Linked DNA regions of Saccharomyces cerevisiae S288C. The protein of the gene in region 1 interacts with the protein of each later gene in a biochemical or structural test. Each region holds a gene or a part of one and is shown on either strand. Other genes may lie near its edges. The genes, in order: CKA1, SVF1, CKB2 and CKB1.

Evidence for each region.
Region 2: of the proteins of CKA1 (region 1) and SVF1, one has a biochemical effect on the other in vitro, tested with the Saccharomyces cerevisiae proteins (3 studies listed by BioGRID).
Region 3: the proteins of CKA1 (region 1) and CKB2 form a complex in vitro, tested with the Saccharomyces cerevisiae proteins (3 studies listed by BioGRID).
Region 4: the proteins of CKA1 (region 1) and CKB1 form a complex in vitro, tested with the Saccharomyces cerevisiae proteins (3 studies listed by BioGRID).

The regions. Positions count from the first base shown.
Region 1 is NC_001141.2:283,621-290,542, reverse strand, and holds CKA1 (casein kinase 2 catalytic subunit CKA1), read left to right. Parts: upstream 1-1,634; coding exon 1,635-2,753; downstream 2,754-6,922. Other genes in the region: cAMP-dependent protein kinase regulatory subunit BCY1, read left to right, coding at 1-124; CAP2 (F-actin-capping protein subunit beta), read left to right, coding at 454-1,317; CST6 (Cst6p), read right to left, coding at 3,114-4,877; pheromone-regulated protein PRM2, read left to right, coding at 5,544-6,922.
Region 2 is NC_001136.10:1,161,373-1,170,257, reverse strand, and holds SVF1 (Svf1p), read left to right. Parts: upstream 1-1,598; coding exon 1,599-3,044; downstream 3,045-8,885. Other genes in the region: mitochondrial 37S ribosomal protein mS43 MRP1, read right to left, coding at 115-1,080; hexose transporter HXT3, read left to right, coding at 5,598-7,301; YDR344C (uncharacterized protein), read left to right, coding at 7,809-8,252. UniProt on the Saccharomyces cerevisiae protein: Ceramide-binding protein that may transfer ceramides from the endoplasmic reticulum membrane to the cis-Golgi network membrane, and is thereby required for the biosynthesis of complex sphingolipids. Required for survival in response to oxidative stress.
Region 3 is NC_001147.6:403,967-407,044, reverse strand, and holds CKB2 (casein kinase 2 regulatory subunit CKB2), read right to left. Parts: upstream 1,278-3,078; coding exon 501-1,277; downstream 1-500. Other genes in the region: HIR2 (Hir2p), read left to right, coding at 1,657-3,078. UniProt on the Saccharomyces cerevisiae protein: Regulatory subunit of casein kinase II/CK2.
Region 4 is NC_001139.9:454,954-459,492, forward strand, and holds CKB1 (casein kinase 2 regulatory subunit CKB1), read left to right. Parts: upstream 1-3,202; coding exon 3,203-4,039; downstream 4,040-4,539. Other genes in the region: protein kinase ALK1, read left to right, coding at 1-2,114; GET complex subunit GET1, read right to left, coding at 2,210-2,917; J-type chaperone JAC1, read right to left, coding at 4,157-4,539. UniProt on the Saccharomyces cerevisiae protein: Regulatory subunit of casein kinase II/CK2.

The DNA.
Region 1 (6,922 bases):
CAGACAGGCCACTGTGACTGCTACAAAGAGAACCAAAGTTGCCACATTGGGGAAAAGTGGTTTTCAACGTTTACTGGGTCCTGCAGTAGACGTATTAAAGCTCAATGATCCTACAAGACATTAAGTAAAAAGGGGAAGCGATCTTAAATCCACATGAATTTCCTTTCTCTTTTTCTTCTTCTTCTGTTCCCTTTTTCTTTCTTCTTCCTTCAACGTCTACGTAAATATAATGTATAACATCTCCACTTTCCTTTCCCTTATAGCGTTATGTTACCTGTTTAAACTCTAAATTCTTCATCTACTACTGCTGTTACTACATGTATATATGTTCATTTTTTTTTTTTTTTTTCACCACGGAAAACGTAAAAATGAGAGCATTTGTAACAAATAAAGGAGAACTGTTCAATCAAGTGACATACAAAAACTCTCTCCAACTCTACAATCACCACCGTAATGTCTGATGCTCAATTCGATGCTGCTTTAGATCTTCTTAGGAGGCTAAATCCTACCACGTTACAGGAGAATCTAAACAACTTGATCGAATTACAACCAAATTTGGCACAAGATTTACTATCTTCAGTAGACGTTCCCCTATCCACACAGAAAGATTCCGCCGATTCAAACCGGGAGTACTTATGCTGCGACTATAATCGTGATATTGATTCGTTCAGATCGCCTTGGTCGAACACTTATTACCCAGAACTATCCCCAAAGGATCTACAAGACAGCCCCTTTCCCTCAGCCCCTTTAAGAAAATTGGAGATCTTAGCCAATGACTCTTTCGACGTTTACAGAGATCTCTATTATGAAGGCGGTATCTCCAGCGTGTACCTCTGGGACCTCAATGAAGAAGATTTCAATGGGCACGATTTTGCAGGGGTAGTGCTTTTCAAAAAAAACCAATCAGATCACAGTAATTGGGACAGTATCCATGTTTTTGAAGTTACAACATCTCCTTCTTCTCCCGACAGTTTCAACTATAGAGTCACCACTACAATCATTCTGCACTTGGACAAAACAAAAACTGACCAGAATTCTCATATGATGTTATCCGGGAACCTGACAAGACAGACCGAAAAGGACATCGCTATTGATATGTCCCGTCCATTAGATGTTATTTTCACATCACATGTCGCTAATTTGGGTTCCTTAATTGAGGACATTGAGTCTCAGATGAGAAATCTATTGGAAACTGTTTATTTCGAAAAGACAAGAGATATCTTCCACCAAACAAAGAACGCAGCCATTGCTTCCTCTGCTGAGGAAGCGAATAAAGACGCACAGGCAGAGGTAATCAGAGGTTTACAGTCTTTATAGAAATATTTACATGTATCGCTGGTATATCATATAAATACATACAGCAGCACTAAGTGGTAGAAAAGCGCTATCAAAAATCACTCGGAACGAACACTGAAGAAAAAGCGAAAAATCAAAAATATGACCAACGCTTGGAAAATTTCAGTAGCAATTAGACGAACCTCGCAGTCCTGTAGTAAAACGGATTAAGGGACTTCATATACTGTTGATACTCGGTGTATTGCAATTACCTACTAGGAGTTTTCTGAATAGGGACTTAAGAAGTCAAATATACAGACAAAAATAGGGGGTTGTAGAAGGAATATTTGATTCGAACTATGAAATGCAGGGTATGGTCAGAGGCTCGTGTTTATACGAATATCAATAAACAAAGAACCGAGGAATATTGGGATTATGAAAATACTGTAATTGATTGGTCCACAAATACAAAGGACTATGAAATTGAAAATAAAGTTGGGCGAGGAAAATACTCCGAGGTTTTCCAAGGTGTCAAATTAGACTCTAAAGTTAAAATTGTTATTAAGATGTTGAAACCAGTTAAAAAGAAGAAGATCAAGAGAGAAATCAAAATCTTAACGGATTTGTCTAACGAAAAAGTGCCTCCAACGACTTTGCCATTTCAAAAAGATCAATATTACACAAATCAAAAGGAGGACGTTTTAAAATTCATCAGGCCCTATATCTTTGATCAGCCACACAATGGTCATGCAAACATAATTCATCTATTTGATATAATAAAGGATCCCATCTCAAAAACTCCGGCTTTGGTCTTCGAATACGTAGATAATGTGGACTTCCGTATTCTTTACCCTAAATTAACCGATCTCGAAATTAGGTTTTATATGTTTGAGTTATTAAAGGCCTTAGACTATTGTCATTCAATGGGAATAATGCATAGAGATGTTAAACCTCATAACGTAATGATTGATCATAAGAATAAAAAATTGCGATTGATAGATTGGGGGCTTGCTGAATTTTATCATGTTAATATGGAATACAATGTTCGTGTTGCGTCGAGGTTTTTTAAGGGTCCTGAACTACTAGTTGACTACAGAATGTATGATTATTCTTTAGACTTGTGGTCGTTTGGGACAATGTTGGCTTCTATGATCTTTAAAAGAGAGCCATTTTTCCATGGAACGAGTAACACAGACCAGCTTGTCAAGATCGTCAAAGTACTTGGTACAAGCGATTTTGAGAAATACCTGTTGAAGTATGAAATTACCTTACCGAGAGAATTTTACGATATGGACCAATACATCAGAAAGCCTTGGCATAGATTCATCAATGATGGTAATAAACATTTAAGCGGCAACGATGAAATTATTGACCTTATTGACAATCTTTTGAGATATGATCATCAAGAAAGATTAACTGCTAAGGAAGCGATGGGACACCCGTGGTTTGCCCCAATAAGGGAACAAATTGAAAAATAAGAAATAAATAATGAATGAAATAAAAAAAAAAAAATCACTGACAAACGATATAACGATTACTTTTTTTTACCATCTGTACAATTGTACTTAATTCTAATAGATTTAAAAAACTAAATACAGGTTTAAAGGGCTTCCTCCATACAACAGAGGCAAGGAGGACTAAGGGGTTGACACGAGCAAATTTCATACATGCAAAATAATAATGTCTTAAAGGTAATTTATACCATAAATGTAGTAACTAAACGAAATAATAACGGCAGAAAAGAAAGGATGCAGCTCGAGTATTTATACACGTATATTACATATATAGTTGTCCTTATCATTCTTGAATGAAACACCGTTGTGCTCACCAAAACTTTGTTATTTTATCTTTTCAGAATTGGGTAATGATTGGTTGTCTGGATCCTTACCACCTTCTACGGGCTTGAGATCTATATCGTCATCGTCAGTATCGCTTCCGAAACGTTGAGAGTATGGCTCGTGCTTGATGGCTATGATCTTACCAGTATCTTTATCCACTTCTGTAACGTCTGAATCGATCATTAAAAGTTCTTCAATGATCTTTAATGAATCCACAGTCATGCTTTCATTTTTGTTGCTACTATTAGTGCCATTAACATTATTATCTGAGTCTTTATTTAGTTTTTCATGTTCACGTAAATGAATTTTGGAGAATTTCTTGAATTTAGAGATTAGTTTTTCATAGTAATTTAACTTTTTCAGTAAAATTCTATTCTCGTCTTTAATTTCGTTAAATTCCTTTTGGAGCTGCAGCTGCGCAACCTTTTTCCTTTGTCTACATTTCGAAGCTGCAATTCGATTTCTTTCTAACAATCTTGCTCTCTTCCATGCCGTAGTACCAGGGATTGGATTTCCCTGTGTGTTCGCCGCTAAATTTAAATGAGATCCTTGAGATTTTGGAGTGAAGCTAGGATTAGAGTGAGATTCCCTAAGTGCAGATTTGCCCCTATTTTCACCTCCAGTAGTTGGCGCAAACGTCGTCATGCCTTCCAAATCACTTATACTCTCCGCTGGAGTATTCTTTGATGGCGCGTTTACAAAATTTCGCTGCTGACTTTTCGAGTAAATAACGCTCTGATCACCCAATGCGGAGTCCTTCGTGGGATTAATAACTTTTTTTGCATTGTATTGTGGAATACTACTAACCGGCACTGCTTGGTTGAAGACCGGCTTGTTTGATACATTCCTAGTTTGGCTCAGACCATTATAATTGTGAAAATTGGGCATCGGGGGCGGCTGTGTGTTGTGCAGGTTTTCCAAAGTTTCAATATCTTCGCCTAGCTGGCTTATTTGACCGTTAGAGATTGATATTCTTCTTCTTCTAATTGGCTCATCGCATCCAGGCAAAGAACTTTGGAAAATTGGTGGATTCGTCATAGGTAAATGTGCTACATCAACACCAAAAGGTTGAAAAAATGGCGACAATGTTTCCAGGATGGATGGATCGTTCAAGGCATGTGGGTTGTTATTCATATTCATGTTCATGAAATACATCTGCTTGTTCACAGAAGCCGTATTGGCGATGTTGGACGCATTAGTCGGGGCTGTAGTAGAATCATTCGGAGCGGACTTACGGGTAGACGACAGTTGGCTCAGATTTGTATGAGTGGCCAGATTCTGATGCATATCCTGTACGACACCAGAATTCATCAGAATATCACCGTAGAGTTGGGATTCCTCTTCAGTTTTCATAGAGGGTGACTGTTGTCGCTGATCCTGCTGTTGCTGTTGTCGAAGGTATGCAGCCTGCTGATAGTTTGAATTGGCGCTGGGTTTAACAACCCGATCATGCGAATTGACGTTTCCAGCTGCAATAGAATATTGTGGGGTTAAAGAATTTCTATTGGAAGTAGTATAATCATGTATTTGGTCAACCACACCAGCCATATTTGTGCTATAGTTTATGTCAGTAGGATCTAAGGATCTACTTAAAGCAGAATTGTTCATAGTAGAAGTGGTGGTGGCGGCGGCAGAAGTATCACTAACAGAGTGCGGTATCTTATTATTCAAGATCTTTGATGTGTCATCAATACCACGTTTATTGTTGTCTTTTTGCTTGTTGGAATTAGAGTCTACGGAATGATACTCCTGACCAGTAAACATTATCCTACCAAAAAGGTGTGGGCTTATACTTTTTTCTTTACTACTTTAGATCTTTTTAGATCCTTTTGAATCTTCCAATTGAAAGACTGCTTTAAAAGCGAGTTTTTGATTTAGAAACACCAACAGATACGTATACACGATAACCTCTATAGCGGTTCTATTTCTGTTAACAAGAAGGTACTTGAAAGTGATAACTCAAAAAACAAGAGTACAATATGAAAATCTTTTGCCTTCATTGTCATTGTCATTGAATCCCCGATTATCATTGTCAGCAATTTCGGAGAAGGGGGCAACTATGTTCCGTGTAAGGTGATATTACTCAAATGTGTCACAATTTCAACTTCTGGGAATAATATTTATAATAGTTGAGATTATTCTTGATTATAGAGGCGACAGCTTATCTTAATTTTCGCCAATAGGTTTGGAAGAACATTGGTATTTTCATTCGGTGCAGCATTTTAATTCAGAATTATAACCGTCCTTGTACGGTTATAACAGCACATTATTGAAAAATGTTTTAAAAATGTTTCAGCCCAGTAATAAAACATTTACATATGCTATCTTGGCCCTTTATATAACATGTAAAGCAAAAAACTAGAACACTAACATGGCTTAAGTAGCTGAAAATCTACACCACTTTTCGATAAAACTAAGAGTACGGCAAAGATGAACAATGTACACATAATTAAACCTTTATCACTTCCACAGAGGTTTTTTAGTTGTATTTTCCATCCTCTATTACTGATATTCTTTACTTCTGTTATTTTAACTATTTGGGGTTCCTTTTCAGTCATTGACATTACAATGGCAAAAATGTCTCACGCACAGGTCAAACGAAATGATACCGTCTCAACCTTTGCATCTATTTCAACTGCTACAGCGACAGCCACAACAACGGCCACAACAACGGCCACAATGACAGCAGTCACAACACAGCATGCCATATATTCTGCCAACAGTTACTCTTTAAATAAAACATTCATTGATAATACAATTGATCAGTATTTCGAAAGCAAACTACGGAGTATTGAATCTACGGTAGGTACGGATATGCAAGAAAAATTCAAGTCATACACAGACGACATACTGGATAATAAACAAAAACTTATCAACGACCAAATAAGTTTGGAAACTGAATTGATTAAGGAAGTTCTTGAGGTAAACAATACAATTTTTAACGAACTACTCACTAAATCACAGCTGATAAATGACACATGGAATGAAATATCAGAAGACGCAATGACCATTGATAAGGATTCCATTTCACAAATGGCATCAAACCTACTGTTAAATTACTCCATGTTTGACAGTATTTTTGGGAACTACTCAAGGAAATTGAAATCATTGCAGAACTTCAATGGCACTATCACTGACTTTTCTACTCAATTAGATACCTCTAGTACCTTAAGTTTGAATTTTCTACGAAATTCCACTGACTGGCTTCAGTTGAAAAGGAACTTTACTGCAAACTTACAGAATGAAATTTCCATTTTATCTGGGGGGAGTACCGAGGTTACATCGTCTACTTCAATAATTAAACGGTCTCTGAAAACAAATAGCGAGGAAAACAGTGTACTAAGTGCAGTAAAAAATCACGTTTTCCGTAAATGTAAGAGAATGACAATAATTTTCACAGTCATGTACTTTGCATTTGTGATTTTGCTCATGGCAATCGAAAGAATTCTGTTTCAGCTGGAAAATCAGCAAGTAAACCTGGTTATGTCCCAAATTAATGGCCTGACAGGACAAACCAATTTTACTAAATACAACAAAGTTTTGAAAAGCTTAATTACTACTCTGAATCTCAGTACACTTTATCCAATTCCCTACCAATTAACAAAGCTTATCAATCAAAAAATATTTAAAAGAGAACCAGAAAAAATCGATGACAAAAAAGTCAAAAAATCAAAACTATTTTACTGTAACTGGTGGATAATCTCAAATGGGGCTCACCTGTGGCTGTTTGGTTTTTTGATGTTATTAATTCATTGGCAGATAGTGACGCGATTAACAAACTTTGAAGTACCCAGTTTGCCTACATTCCA
Region 2 (8,885 bases), on another chromosome or scaffold:
AATAAAAATAATTTAAGACCACGTTATATACACATTACGAATAGTTTGACTTTATATATTTACAGAGACTACCAACTTATATCAAAAGGAAAAAATTCCCATTACCAGTTTCATTCATAACGTGTTGAATGCTTGGATCTTAGTACGTTGAGGTAACCTTGACTCTACAATTTTCCATTCTATAGAGTCCCATACCCTTTCTAAATATTCTCGTTTCCCAAATACGCCATAATCAGTTAACCATGTTTTTGGTGACGCATCAATGGCTAAAAGCGGGATATATGAAACCTCTTTCCCAGAAAAACCTTTCTGTTGGGTTTCATAAATAAATTTTGTCTTGGCTTGCTTGGCAGTCATCTCAGAATCTTCAAGATTACCGGCTTCTTTGGCTCGTTGTTTTTCCATGTTGGTATATTGGTTATTGAGCTCATTCATTACCCCAGATGTAGAGAAGTTGAAGGGAGTTCCCGCATTGTACGTATTCAATATAAACAGCTTATCATATTCAATATCCCTGTTTGGCATGTCGTTGCGCATAGCACGTTTGTCGAGCTGCCGTCTTGCGACTAACCACGTAAACCCGTCGCCTGATATAGCAAGATTTGAATTTATTAATAATGTTCTGAACTCCATCAAAGACCCAAATGAAGAAATTAGAGCTGCTTGCAAACGTTCGTTGCCAGTGGTCAATGGCTCATTGCTTATTGTCCTATTGAAATCAGGGGTCTGAAGTAGCGCCTCTGGACCTAGCCTGGGGCATTCCTCTGGCGGAGTCCTGATACATCCCTGAAGGGAAGACATGCTAAATTTCAAGTTGTACAATGATGACGCATAGTTCACGATATGTTTCTTTGAAGCAGATTTCGAATTTTCATGGATGAGAGTTTCTAAGGGTTTTTGTTGCGCTTCATTTGTACAATCGTTCAATTTTGCATCGAGATATTTCACTCGGTCGAACCATGCTTTCTGTAATCCTTCAATAGAAAACAGCCCTTTCAGAGGAGCACCTTCTTTCAGGTGCTCGAGTGCATACCTAGTAGAGTACTTTCTAATAGCGCGAGCACCAGTAAAGCGAAGCATGGTGCTGGAAACCTTAAAATTCAAAAGTATTTAGATTCCCCCAGCTGTTAAATGGCAAATCACTGATTGTTTCCAGATCCTAGCTAAAACTGCGGTTCCTCCCACCGTTTCTGCCATACTTTTCATCACTTATGCATTATGATATTGCTCTTGAGAGAATCTGAGCAAAATCCTGCATAATATAAATCTCACTTTCCACGGAACTTCAGGTCCGGTTTAGTACCGCTTTTTTTCGTTGTTTTTTTGTTGTTGAGGAGGCAAACTTGCGATGAGTGGGAGAAAACAAAAGCGAAATGACAGCTGGTTGATTGAAACATTCGGGGATATCTTGCAAGATTACTCCTTGAGATTCACGAATAGCACGGCTTTTCGTTTGTTATATATAGATAGAGCCTGTTGATAGAATTCTTTTGTATTCGTTTGATAATTTGAAATCTGTAGAAGATCAAAAGATTCAGTCATTTATTGCATCGAATCAAGAAAAAAGAAACGAATAAGCTTTTGTATAATATAATATAATGTTGAAGTGGATAAAAGGTGGGATCTCAGCAGTCACTGGTATGGCTGAGCCTGAATATGGGAAAGATTACATTCATAGTGTTGCTGATAGGGTAAAAAATAAGCAGCCTTACAGAGAAACCAGTCGTGAAGATTTTTTTTGGCAAGCTCCTGACCATACAAACGTTGAATCGGTTATCTTTTATTTCAGTGACTTGAAAACAGGTATCTTTGGATTTGCCCAGGTTATTCATTCGAACATCATTGGGTTGCACACTGCATCCCAATTTACTTTCAGAATTTTTGACTCGAAGAATCCAGAGGATTTGAATATCTGGACTTCCACCAAGTTGGAAAATTTTTACATCGAAGGTCCAAACTTCTATGCCGACAATCTTTCTGTAGAATTAAGTGAAGACGGTGAAAGCTATCACATTCAATCCAGTGTTTGTGATTTATCTGTCGTTGACTTGCATATAAGAAGGTTAACCCCTGGAGCCAAGATAGGCGATGATCCTGCGACTTATTATGGTAACAATATCAATGAACCATGGGGTAGCATGAGACACGTTTTCTGGCCAAGGAATGCTTGTCACGGTACTATCAAAGTTAAGAAAGAAGTTATTCCAGAATCTGATGAAGAAGAATCCTCAGCTGATGAGGATGATAATGAAGACGAAGATGAAGAGTCTGGTGATTCTGAGGAGGAATCTGGTAGTGAAGAAGAAAGCGACAGTGAAGAAGTCGAAATCACCTATGAAGATCGTACGATTACTTTTAAAGAGGAAGACCCTGCGATTTCGACATTTATAATGGCCTTCCAAGGCATGAAGCCTCATCACGCAGCTAAGGCATGGAACTTCATGTTTTTCCATTCCGAAAAGTATTCCGCGGTGTTGATGGAGTTCACTACACCAAAATCATATGCCAACACTAAAATTTCTGCTGGTATTATTACCGATGATAAAGAAGTTTTAGCGATGACAACTAACAATCTTGTTGAGCACTTAAACTCAGAAATTGATTCTGTTGGTTGGAAAGTTCCAAAAGATATTAAGATCACCTTCAAAGGTATCAATACCAAAGTCAAGGATGAACAATTGGAATCCGAGAATGGGACTGAACAAGCTTTACAAGGAGAGGATGAAAAGGAAGATGAAAAGGAAGATGAAGAGGAAGAAGAATACAAGAACGTCGCAGAAGAAAATAAGATCTGTGCTGTTGTGGAGGGTCCGTTGAACAACCTAGTTGAAAGAATTGATGTGATGGGCGAAATTCCAAGTTTTGTTAAAAACATCGTCTCTGGTGTTGCTGGTACTAAGCCATTTATATACCAATATGCTGATCCAAAAAGCTCAACTTTACAAATAAATGGCGGGGAGAAAATTCACGGTGTAGCTTGGACCGAAGTAACATTCATTTCTGAATCAGATGTGATTAGTGAGGAGTCTTACAATGAAGCATGAGCAAAAGTGGGAAGGTCTCGTATGCTTTTTCCTATCTGTGATTTAATACTACACAAATCTAATATTGCAAATTTTAATAATTATAGCAAGTTATCGTTATACCCCTTTTTAATTGTTGCGTCACATAATCGATACTATTGTTCAAAATAAGAGTGATGCGAGAAATAGCCACAGTAAACAATGTTGCCATAATAAATAGTTGTCGTTTTTATTCATCTCATTTTTCTTATGTATCCATACATATATATATATAATGTAATATAGCCTGAGCAAATGAATAAAGTTTTCGTGGATATCTGCGAAATATACCCTTGCAAGCAAAACAAAAGAACTCTCAGAAAAGGTTATAATACAGGTGCTGGTAGGAGTAAGTACGTTCCTGGGGCTTGGTATTTATCGGGATGAAGTGATCATATGTATTGTTCCAGGTTTAATGAAACACCAAATGTATTTAATCAAAAAGAAAACCTTCCAGACTATTTTAAATGGCTCAAATACAAAATACCGCAACTATGCACTTCGTTTTAGGGATCCATCTAATCTGCAAAGTCGGAAAATGGAAACGATCCTATTGACGCGATCCTTATGGGGTAAATTAAAAAAACCTTCACGTTAGGATACTACAGCTGAAGTAAGCGTCTCACGTAGCGCGCAGTCTATTTTTGGAAGTTAGGGGCTAATGATTTTCTACGGCTGCCGAGCATGGATGATGCCTTTATTTAGAAGCATGTAAAAAAAGCGTCTCAAAACACGGAGAAATGCACTAACAATGGGTATACTAGACTTGTTAAATTCAAATTTCGGCGAAAAGAGACTTGTATTTCATTAGTTACTTTTCGTTCAGTTAAGCATGATCGTCTAGGCGTTCCATTAACTAGTATCTTGGTTCTTTATGTAGTTTGAAGTTATCTCTGTAATTAGGCTCCTCATTTGCCAAAGTTAAGTATTGGATGTGTGTGCAGTATGCTTTCATGCCTCTATAGCAAAAATCAATGGCTCTCAAGAAATTTGTCGTAACCCACTTTAGCATATTTATTTACATTTTGTCGGAATATTATTTCTTCTCTACAGAAAAATGAAAGCAACAGAATTGAATTTCGACAAGTCACAAACAAACTTTGTAGACTTTTTATTACAAAAATTTATTAAGTGACATTCACTACTTGTATTATTGTGAGAGAAGTACATAGCACCGGGAATCTTAGACAGGGTTACTACTAACTACAACCCTCATACTGCCTTACGTAGCCAAACAAGAGCAGTTCTCAGATTACAATGGGAGATCATTTGAAAATATCAAAGATTGATCAAGAATATTTTACTGGTGGCATCCGCCCGCCCTTTAATTTCGGAATTTAGTGCTGCTTACAACTCTTCATTTTCCTCATGCGGGACGCCAGCTTTGGTGCGGGATGAAGGCAATATCCAAACCAGCATCAGGAAAAGCCTGAAGAAATGTGGTGCCTAATGCTCTTATCTAATCTGTATCCACACCTTACAGCGAAGTGTTCAATTAACTGTGCGGCTAATTCTGACACTTCATCAAAAATTACACCGGTATATCAAATGGCGGTGTAGTTTGAAAAGTACACTGTATGTCCATTAATAAAATTACGCCGAAGAACACTGACTAGCTATAAATTCTCTTCCGGCGTCCAATTTCAACCTAAGGCAAGTATTGTTAATCAATAATGCGTGTTGGTAAATATGAAGCCCGATGTTGATTAAGAAGAATTATTCGTATAAGAATTAAGCAAGCAAAATTAAGGAAAATTTTTTCTTTCCTATTCGTCATCGCAGACAGCCTTCATCTTCTCGAGATAACACCTGGAGGAGGAGCAATGAAATGAAAGGAAAAAAAAATACTTTCTTTTTCTTGAAAAAAGAAAAAAATTGTAAGATGAGCTATTCGCGGAACATTCTAGCTCGTTTGCATCTTCTTGCATTTGGTAGGTTTTCAATAGTTCGGTAATATTAACGGATACCTACTATTATCCCCTAGTAGGCTCTTTTCACGGAGAAATTCGGGAGTGTTTTTTTTCCGTGCGCATTTTCTTAGCTATATTCTTCCAGCTTCGCCTGCTGCCCGGTCATCGTTCCTGTCACGTAGTTTTTCCGGATTCGTCCGGCTCATATAATACCGCAATAAACACGGAATATCTCGTTCCGCGGATTCGGTTAAACTCTCGGTCGCGGATTATCACAGAGAAAGCTTCGTGGAGAATTTTTCCAGATTTTCCGCTTTCCCCGATGTTGGTATTTCCGGAGGTCATTATACTGACCGCCATTATAATGACTGTACAACGACCTTCTGGAGAAAGAAACAACTCAATAACGATGTGGGACATTGGGGGCCCACTCAAAAAATCTGGGGACTATATCCCCAGAGAATTTCTCCAGAAGAGAAGAAAAGTCAAAGTTTTTTTTCGCTTGGGGGTTGCATATAAATACAGGCGCTGTTTTATCTTCAGCATGAATATTCCATAATTTTACTTAATAGCTTTTCATAAATAATAGAATCACAAACAAAATTTACATCTGAGTTAAACAATCATGAATTCAACTCCAGATTTAATATCTCCACAAAAGTCAAGTGAGAATTCGAATGCTGACCTGCCTTCGAATAGCTCTCAGGTAATGAACATGCCTGAAGAAAAAGGTGTTCAAGATGATTTCCAAGCTGAGGCCGACCAAGTACTTACCAACCCAAATACAGGTAAAGGTGCATATGTCACTGTGTCTATCTGTTGTGTTATGGTTGCCTTCGGTGGTTTCGTTTTCGGTTGGGATACTGGTACCATTTCTGGTTTCGTCGCCCAAACTGATTTCTTGAGAAGATTCGGTATGAAGCATAAAGATGGTAGTTATTATTTGTCTAAGGTTAGAACTGGTTTAATTGTCTCCATTTTCAACATTGGTTGTGCCATTGGTGGTATTATTTTGGCTAAATTGGGTGATATGTACGGTCGTAAAATGGGTTTGATTGTCGTTGTTGTTATCTACATCATCGGTATTATTATTCAAATTGCATCCATCAACAAATGGTACCAATATTTCATCGGTAGAATTATTTCCGGTTTGGGTGTTGGTGGTATTGCCGTTTTATCTCCTATGTTGATTTCTGAAGTCGCTCCTAAGGAAATGAGAGGTACTTTAGTCTCCTGTTACCAACTGATGATTACCTTGGGTATTTTCTTGGGTTACTGTACCAACTTCGGTACTAAGAACTACTCCAACTCTGTGCAATGGAGAGTTCCATTAGGTTTGTGTTTTGCCTGGGCTTTGTTTATGATCGGTGGTATGACTTTCGTTCCAGAATCCCCACGTTATTTGGTTGAAGCTGGTCAAATTGACGAAGCAAGAGCATCTCTTTCCAAAGTTAACAAGGTTGCCCCAGACCATCCATTCATTCAACAAGAGTTGGAAGTTATTGAAGCTAGTGTTGAAGAAGCTAGAGCTGCTGGTTCAGCATCATGGGGTGAGTTGTTCACTGGTAAGCCGGCCATGTTTAAGCGTACTATGATGGGTATCATGATCCAATCTCTACAACAATTGACTGGTGATAACTATTTCTTCTACTATGGTACTACCGTTTTTAACGCTGTTGGTATGAGTGATTCTTTCGAAACTTCTATTGTTTTCGGTGTCGTCAACTTCTTCTCTACTTGTTGTTCTTTGTACACTGTCGATCGTTTTGGACGTCGTAACTGTTTGTTATATGGTGCCATTGGTATGGTCTGCTGTTATGTAGTTTACGCTTCTGTTGGTGTCACCAGACTATGGCCAAATGGTGAAGGTAATGGTTCATCCAAGGGTGCTGGTAACTGTATGATTGTCTTTGCCTGTTTCTATATTTTCTGTTTTGCTACCACTTGGGCTCCAATTGCTTATGTTGTTATTTCTGAAACTTTCCCATTGAGAGTCAAGTCTAAGGCTATGTCTATTGCTACAGCTGCTAATTGGTTGTGGGGTTTCTTGATTGGTTTCTTCACTCCATTTATTACTGGTGCTATTAACTTCTACTACGGTTACGTTTTCATGGGCTGTATGGTTTTCGCCTACTTCTACGTTTTCTTCTTTGTGCCAGAAACTAAGGGTTTGACTTTGGAAGAAGTCAATGATATGTACGCTGAAGGTGTTCTACCATGGAAGTCTGCTTCATGGGTTCCAACATCTCAAAGAGGTGCTAACTACGATGCTGATGCATTGATGCATGATGACCAGCCATTCTACAAGAAAATGTTCGGCAAGAAATAATTTCACGCTAAACCGTAGTGCTGAATAATAGTGTATTTTAAGATTCGATGTGCTAGTCAATAATGATAAATAATACACAAGATTTATGACTTTATATATATAATTCTCTGATACAGTTAATAAAAGACATTGGTACATGATATCAAACAGAATTTTAACATTTCTTGATCCAGTTTGTAAACAAAACAAACAATTTTTCTACCATTTAACTTCATACCATCGGCGAGAGCCGAACAGGAAAAAAAAGAAGTCTCCGGTTATCGTAAGCAGTATCAAATAATAAGAATGTATGTGTGTGCAATTTGTTATACCCACGAAGAAGTGCGCAGTAGAGTTAGAAAACCAACTGAGTAATCTTTACTCCCGACAATCGTCCAATAATCCTCTTGTTGCTAGGAACGTGATGATGGATTTCGTTTGAAATCCGGACGGAAAACTCAAAAGAAGTCCAACCACCAACCATTTTCGAGCCTCAAGAATCTCTAAGCAGGTTTCTTTACTAAGGGGATGGCCTTTCTGTCCTGGACATTTTTTCCTTCCTTTTTTCATTTCCTTGAAAGGAACAGATTTTTTTTGACTTTTGCCACACAGCTGCACTATCTCAACCCCTTTTACATTTTAAGTTTTCGGGTTGAATGGCATCAAATTTGGGAAAATTTAGCTTACTCAGACACCAACACATTTTTTCATGAGTATTGTTGGAAAATCTTTCCATGCTTATCAGCCGGAATACGGAACAACGGCTGCTGTGATGCCGCAAAGGGGCAAGGAAAAAATAAGCAACACACACCGAAACAGGAGGAAGAAATTCCGAACACAAGCCTAAGAAGACACCGCAGTTGTTGCAACATGTTCACATGTTCATCCCCCTGCTACTACTTGGAAATTAATGTAGGGGTAATTGGAGTGCGCCGGCCCGTGCTTTCAGAGGAACAAAGGAAGAATTGTTAAAAAAAGGCAGTGACAACGAGCACGGGTGCACCATATGGTGTGATAAGCAACCTAGGACAAAAAGAAGTGCGCAGTTCCTGTGTGCGGCGCCAAGACAAATGTTTCATATGCTTCTCCAAGGGGCTACGCTACCTAGCCTCACCACCCGATCTCTTTTTTTCCTGAACGCAGAGGGGACCGTACGAAAAAAAATGTTTTTTAGGCAACGGAGATTCGTTTTATCCACGTTTACCCCACAAAAAGTGCAGGTACATTGTGGGGCCCCGGCATCGAAAACCAGTTTTTTTCCTTTAAACGCTGGAAAAAAAGGAGAAATTATTGGAACTTTGCAGAGAATAGTCCGTAGGCAAATTGAAAATGTTCCTTAAAAAATTTCGTTTCTTACTCATTGAGATTATTCAGATGCCCTCCGTGCCTTCATTGAAAAAAATCCAAGAGATGTCTCGGATCTGTATGCAGATTTTGGCTTGCAGACAATGGAGAGCAAATGGGTATACAATATAGAAAGCACAGAAACATATAAAAAGAGCTCGAGAAAAGACATATGGTTTGTAACTATCTTCTTCTTTTTTCCAATTTTTCTGTTTTAATAATAAAAAAACAAGAACAAACAAGCTCAACTTGTCTTTTCTA
Region 3 (3,078 bases), on another chromosome or scaffold:
ACCAAAGAATGAGTAAATCTCCTCTTTTCAGTACTTCCAGATTAGTCTTCAAACAGCTTTTGAGTTTTTAAAATATAAACCGCCTCTTAGTTCATAGGCAGTCTCCACGCGATGCCGCCACTTCTCCAATTTCTTGATAAATAAGGATGCTTCCTACATTCAAAGATTTCAAGCTATTCACTAAAATAACACCAATAATTCGTGGGTAACCACATTTGCAAATTGTTGATATATAACAGGCTAACTTCGGAGCACGCTCTTTTATCTGGTTGTATTATTGCCGTAAGGGGCAATAACGGTATATAAAAATTTAATATTAAATAGGAAAAGTAAAATACGAATGGAGGTAGAAAATAGTAATATTCTAGGAAAGAAAATGCTAGGAGAACAAATGATACCTGATTTTCACAATTTTATGACGAAGTTTCTCCATTATTTTCATTTTCGTTTTCAATTTCGCCTAGGATTTCATTTCGAATTTTTTCTTCTTTCTTTAATAGTTAGGTTTTAAAACCACCACTTTTCGTCAAATCAACATCTTTGGATTCAAGTTTCTCAACTAACTTGAGTCGTTGTAGTTCTTGCCACCTTGTCAGTTGAGCTTGTTTATGTAATTCAAATCCAAATATTTTTGGAACATATCTTTTAGTTGGGTGTTTGGGTACCATATCTGGAAATGCTTGCAAAAACATACCTGGAAAACTTGTTCCAAAGTATGCACCATCAATGGAACTATGTCTCGATGATTTTGGTATATAAAGATCCTCACAAGATGGACAATATAACTTGACACAATCTATACCAGGAATGTCATGCAAACCAACCGGTAACAACTGTTGTAAATTACAATACACACGGGGACATCTTCCAAAGTCCGCCTCTTTGTACTTAGCGTACATTTTTTGCAATCCTTTGATAGTTATAATGTAGCGTGCATGGATGAGACCATACAGCTTCCGGGAATCTGATTCTAATTGTTCTAAACGGGCATGTGTCATATTCTCTAGGATACTATCATCCAAATCATCCACAATATATTGTACCACGTAGGAAAATTTTGAAACTGTCTTTTGCAAGTTCATCAGATTAAAACGATCAGTGATGTACTCAGGATCGACATCACAGAAATATTCATGGCCTTTTCTCCCAAGAAATAAATCGATCCACATATCCACGTATTCCGATGAGTCAGAGTCATCATCCATGAGGACATCATCTTGTTCCACTCTGGAGCCTTCTCTAGTCACTGTTCCCACATTCTCCGATCTACTGCCCATGATCTGCTTTTCTATCAGTTCTCTAAGTCCCTTAATCTTGAATAATTTGAAAAAAGCTAGTATTTCTCAAGTAAAAGATTGATGAAAAAATACAGCAGGAAAATTCCACGTATCTGGAATGACCAACTTCTTTAAGAATGTGATTTACTTATTCTATTTGGTGCTTGTTTTCATTTGATAAAGGATTGCCAATACACCTCCATTTATTCGCTTTCATATTTTTTCTTCCTGGAAGGTCGACAAAAAAAAGCGCGAAAAAAATATCAGTTAATTCGGCTAGAATTATGAAGTCTTCATAAAACAATATACAAAAAGTGCTAAATCGTCCATACAGAGGAATACGCCACGCAGCAAAGGAGTTCCTACACAATCCGGAACAATGAGATTATTAAAGTATCCTTTGGATATTCATAATGAACAAGTGAATGCCTTAGCTGCCCTTGGTCCCTATATCATATTGGCAGGCAGTGGGGGTCACGTGATGGCGTGGAGACAACAACAACTAGTCGATACTGCATTCGATAGGGTTATGATTAAGGATTTAAAGCCAGAAGTTTCTTTCCAGGTGGATCAGGATACTACCGGTGATATTTTTTTCATAACAGGTGATCTCGAAACATTGTATATTGGATCTGAACATCGTCTGTGGGGTTATTCAGGTTGGCTCTGTAGAGATACAAATAACATCAATTCTGTCGAAAAAATGAACAGTAAGCTTCTGTTCGAGTGTAAATCTCCAAGCACAATAACGGATGTGAAATATGACATAAACTTAGGTATCTTATTTGTTCTTTTAAGTAATGAAAATAAGATACTATTATTTCGGCATAAAACCTTTGATAAACTCTCTGAAATAACTATTGACAAGGCGAGCAAACCTATTACAGGCATAATAGATCCTACTGGCCAAACTTTTACTGTTATGACTTCAGATAGATCAATTTTAGTCTATCAAATTAACAAAACGGGTACACACAAACTCATAAATAAACTTACGCAGCATGTACAAATGTATCCATTACATTATAGAATCTCAATGTCACCTCAGGCAGACATTTTACCAGTGATAAACTCGGTGAAAGGTGTGCCGAATAATGCTACCAGCTGTACCGCTTTACTTGACAGAAATAACAACTACAAAGTTACAAAAACACTGGTAACACCTTCTTCAAATGGATGTAGAGTTCTTGTTTATTCTCCAGCATTTTATGAAAAGCCTAATTTGAAAAAGGGCACCAGCACACGCTATAATTTAATCGCCACTTCGGGATCTACAGACGGTACTATTTTGGTTTGGAATACGAAGAGAATGAAACCTTTGTTTAATGCTCTCCAGGTTTCCTCCACCGCAATAAACGATATGTCTTGGTCACAGGATGGGTTCACCTTGTTTGCCATTTCAAACGACGCGACATTGTATACATTCGCATTCCAAGAGAAGGATTTAGGTGTAGCATTGCCTCAAACGGAAATCAAATCGTTACAAGAAGTAAACAAAAAGCTTCCAAAGCTTGAAGAGCCGTTAGCAGAACAAATACCGAAAAGTTTCCCAGAAAACATCAAATTAGAAGAATCTGCAAGCGCAGCACCTATTCCAAACGATATTGGTAGATCTGCCGTGGGCAAGAAACCGACCAAAAAAAAAACGGCTAACAATCAAACTAATGGCATCAAAACTATCCAGAGCACATCAATGGAATTCAACACTCCATCATACACTGTGCCAAGGGATTTGAAGAGAAAGCCAAAAGAGGCAACTCCAAGTAACATTGCCCCTGGCAGCAAAAAGCAGAAAAAAGAG
Region 4 (4,539 bases), on another chromosome or scaffold:
TGACTGCTGACACAGCTGACGAGCTGGAAAGCTCTGCTATCTTAAAGATGAGGGAGTCTGATGCATCTTTAAATGTTACCACCGGCAATAATACATCAAGGAAAACGACTTCCAATTCCAAAAAACGATGGTCTCTATTATCCAATCATTCTGCTGTTTCATCATCTAAATCTAAGAAAAGATGGTCTGTACTTTCTTCAAGCTTTACCAGTGAATCTCATAAGGACAGGGAATCGAGGAACGTTTTGCAACAAAAAAGAAAATCCTTGCAGAGTTATTCAAGCTTAGATACGGTAGCATCTAATAGCTCTATCTCTGCTTCTTCTTCTTTGAAAAGATCGTCCACTGGTCTTTCCCTCAGACAATTGTTTACCAAGATAGGCATAAACGATGATATATCACAACCTGGGATCGGGATTCCGCAAGGTAAGGAAAATCTGCCTCCAACTATGGGCAAAAAAAATTCATCAATTGCTTCCACTAGTTCGGAAAACAGACTTAGGACACCATTGAAGCCGCTTGTTAATCATTCTAAAAGGCCCACTTCACAACCACAACAGCAACAACCACTATATAATGCATCATTGTCCTCGAGAAGATCGTCGATTTCTTCCACTGTCTCTTCTTCCAGCTCGTCTAAATGGAGATTCTGGAAGAGAAATAAGAACCAGACACCTGCATTGTTGCAACCAGACCACCATTCTTTAAAAACCTTTCCTGCAGTAAACCGTCGTGATTCCATGACGCCCGTTGAACCAAGAAATATGGTAAAACATAAGACATCCTTTTCAGATTTCCATAAGACTATCTTCAGTTCAAATACGTATTCTGAAAGCAGCGATACAATATCTTCCATGGAAATTACTTTGAAAAACAAAGCTTCTTCCTCAAGTCTATCTTTGAACGTGTTGAAGAAAAGGAATTCGCAATCAAGTTTGAAGCACAAAAGTTCACATGCATCCTTACAAAAATTCAAAAGAAACAAAGGAAAGTCCTCCATGATAGCACCATCGACAGCAACTAATAGCAGCAATGATGACTCTTGTAGCTACAGTTCCAAAAATTCTACGTTGAGTCACCGAATATCGTTACCTGTACCGGACCAAGTTTCCCGTGATAAAATTCAGAACAAATTAAGATATTCGACCTCATTACTCTCATTAAATTCTAAATCATCTTTACCGATGAACAAAAATGATCATGATGAGACACTTCTAAGACAGATTTTACTAAATTGTGATATAAAGAGAATTTTAAACCCCGCAAAAGGAGATGTATTGCCTTTAATCAACGATGTAAACCATTTGTCATCAATACAATTAACATCAAATGTTTGGCAAATTGGTGAAGTAATCTGTAAAAAAGTTTCTCTCGGTACTATTGATGACATTACATGGGATAGAAAGTTCTTATCTTTGCAGGAACTGGAAAAACTCAAAATCATGCAACAAAAATTTGATGGCATACCGCAACTATTGAAAAGTTTTGTTGTTAAAGAGGCAAATGGGGGGTTGTATTTGTACTTACTATTCAAAGATCACGGTACCCCAATTTCGTTAATCTCACTGAAAAACTGGAAGCAGATTCTAAAGATTTTTTGGTCTTGTGCTGGTATAATTCATGGGTTGGAAAAAAATTTGAAATTTGAACATCGTAATCTTACTTTGGATAATATTTTGATAGATGGTAATGGGAATATAACAATTATTGATTTTAAATGCAGTAGATTGCAAACTCCTCAAGATGATGTTTTATATCTACGGCTAGATCATCCACTCTTTTTTCTAAATGGGAAAGACAAGAGTAAAATAAACGAATACCAGTATCAATTTGAGTTTGAAATCTATCAAAGTATGCGGATCTTGTTGAACATGGACGCGTCAGCTTTTGAGCCCATGACAAATTTGTATTGGTTATATTACCTGTCACGCGTTTTACTAAAGTTTGGTGACAGGAAGCTTGGTAAGAATGATGCAAACAGGGATAAAATGGCAAGGGTGATAAACCATTTGGAAATGAACTTGGCAGTTCATAAAAGAGGGGGGCAGTTATTCAAAAGATTGGAGACGGAGGACATTAAGAATACTGGAGATTTACTAAAACTTTATAAATAAAACAAATAGGAATGTTGACATTTATATTTCATTTTCTTTCTATTGTATACTCCAATACATAAACATATTATATATACGTACATAATGTAATAACACTAATCTAAAATAATGGCATCGTCGACAGCATCCAAGGCTTTCTCCTCTTGAGTCTCCACAGATGCAGGTGCTTCCATTTTGGGAGTCAAAAACAATTGCTTAACGATAAATTCCACGCCGTTGATGACATTCATCAATGCCCAAACCCAGATTCCCAAAGAGACACTCTGTAAAGCCATATCATCAAACTTGGAAGCACCAAATTTGCCCTCCATTATATGCCATTTCTGAGAAATAGTCCTTAGAGGATGCAAGAGAACATATAACCAGCCTTGAGACCAAACACCACTTACAAACGTAGGGAACAAGGTGCTAGTCGAGGAACTCAACTTGTAAACTGGTGTCTTGCCGTACATAATCTTAAACACAAAAAATGGCACCGTCAATGCCAATAACCTGAGTTTGTGAAGATGGGCCTGAAAGGCTTTATTTTCTGATTGTATTTCGTCCTTCAAGTTATTTATTTCTTTATCTAACGAGTCCAATTTTCTATTGTTCTTAGTCCATTTGGCATAATTATCCTGCGCGGAGATAGAGTTGTTGAATTCTTTTAATTCGTGACGTTCTTTGACCTTGGCTAAGTATTTTTTGGATAATTCATTTCCTGGTGCAAATTTAGAGATCCATTTCTCGTGGTATTTGTTTGTATACTGTAGAAACTTTGTGACCACAATAAAGAATATCGCTACCGCTGCTGCCCAATGCATTTCTCCTATTTCAATCAACTAGACGTAGTTCAAGGATTGCAAACTGTCCTGCTTTCTTTTATCTGGTCTTTTTATCCCGAGGTATTGTTGTATATACCACTACTCTGTGATTTTTTTTCACTCTTGGGAAGGAAAGAAAAAGTGAAAACATCAACTGGTAAGTGTCTAATGACAAAAACAGGAGGTAGTTGGTACGTGCAAAACACGATAGTGACGTTAATCCGAATCTGTAAATTGGTGAATTGGTATTTAGAAGCGACCATTAGCTAAAAGAGAGAGAAAACTATGTCGCAAGAGTTTGTGGAAGACTATTCACGTACAGGGTCCTCAGACGACGAGGATAGTGGAGCTTATGACGAGTGGATTCCATCGTTCTGTTCCAGATTTGGTCACGAGTACTTCTGCCAAGTCCCGACAGAGTTTATCGAGGATGATTTCAATATGACCTCGTTATCCCAAGAGGTACCCCACTACCGGAAAGCTCTGGATTTGATATTGGATTTGGAGGCTATGAGTGATGAAGAAGAGGACGAAGACGACGTGGTGGAAGAAGACGAAGTGGATCAAGAGATGCAGAGTAATGACGGTCATGATGAAGGCAAAAGGAGAAACAAGTCGCCAGTGGTGAACAAGAGTATTATCGAGCACGCAGCAGAACAGTTATACGGATTGATACATGCAAGATTTATTCTGACCAAGCCAGGCCTGCAAGCAATGGCTGAAAAATTCGACCACAAGGAATTTGGAACGTGCCCCCGTTACTATTGTAATGGCATGCAGTTGCTGCCTTGTGGGTTGAGCGATACAGTTGGGAAACACACCGTAAGGTTGTACTGTCCCAGTTGTCAGGACTTGTATCTTCCCCAATCATCTAGATTCCTGTGCTTAGAAGGTGCATTTTGGGGGACAAGCTTCCCTGGTGTGTTCTTGAAACATTTCAAAGAATTGGAAGAGTATGTGGAAAGGAAAAGTAAAGAGTCCTACGAGTTGAAAGTTTTTGGGTTCAGGATAAATGATGAGGCAGTATCTGGTCCTAGAATGAAGTGGTTGAGACAATATCCATCCACGGAGGAGGACTGGGAAGAATTTGCCAAATGCGAGTTCGAGACACCGGCGGTTTAACCCTTGATTTATTTTCCTCTTTGCCCTACCATATACATATGTACTTTACCTATTTACATTGTTTCAGTTTTTATATCACCACTATTATTATTATTACTATTACCACTTTGGAGTACTTTAGTGATTCATTTCCAATTGTTTTCCTGGAGCCCAGTCTTTGAATGCCTTGGCCAAGTTGTACCAGTACTTTAGCTCCACGGTCAACTTCACTGCGGCGGCGTAATCCTTGTCATTGTAGCATTGTCCCAACTGGGCTTCAATATCTTGAATTCTTTCCTTGTTTTGCTTTTCAAGCAGCTTCACACCAGCTTCGTCGTCCATCTGGGATAATTCATCATGGATGTCTAGAACTTTCAATAGTAACTGTGGATCACTGGTAGTTACTTCATTTGAGGTCTGTTCTTGCGTCAAATCGATATTGCGCAAGAGTTTTAGCATATATTGTGACCTTCTAAGGGGATCTTTGAGAGTATGGTAAGCTTGATTAAGAGTTGATGACT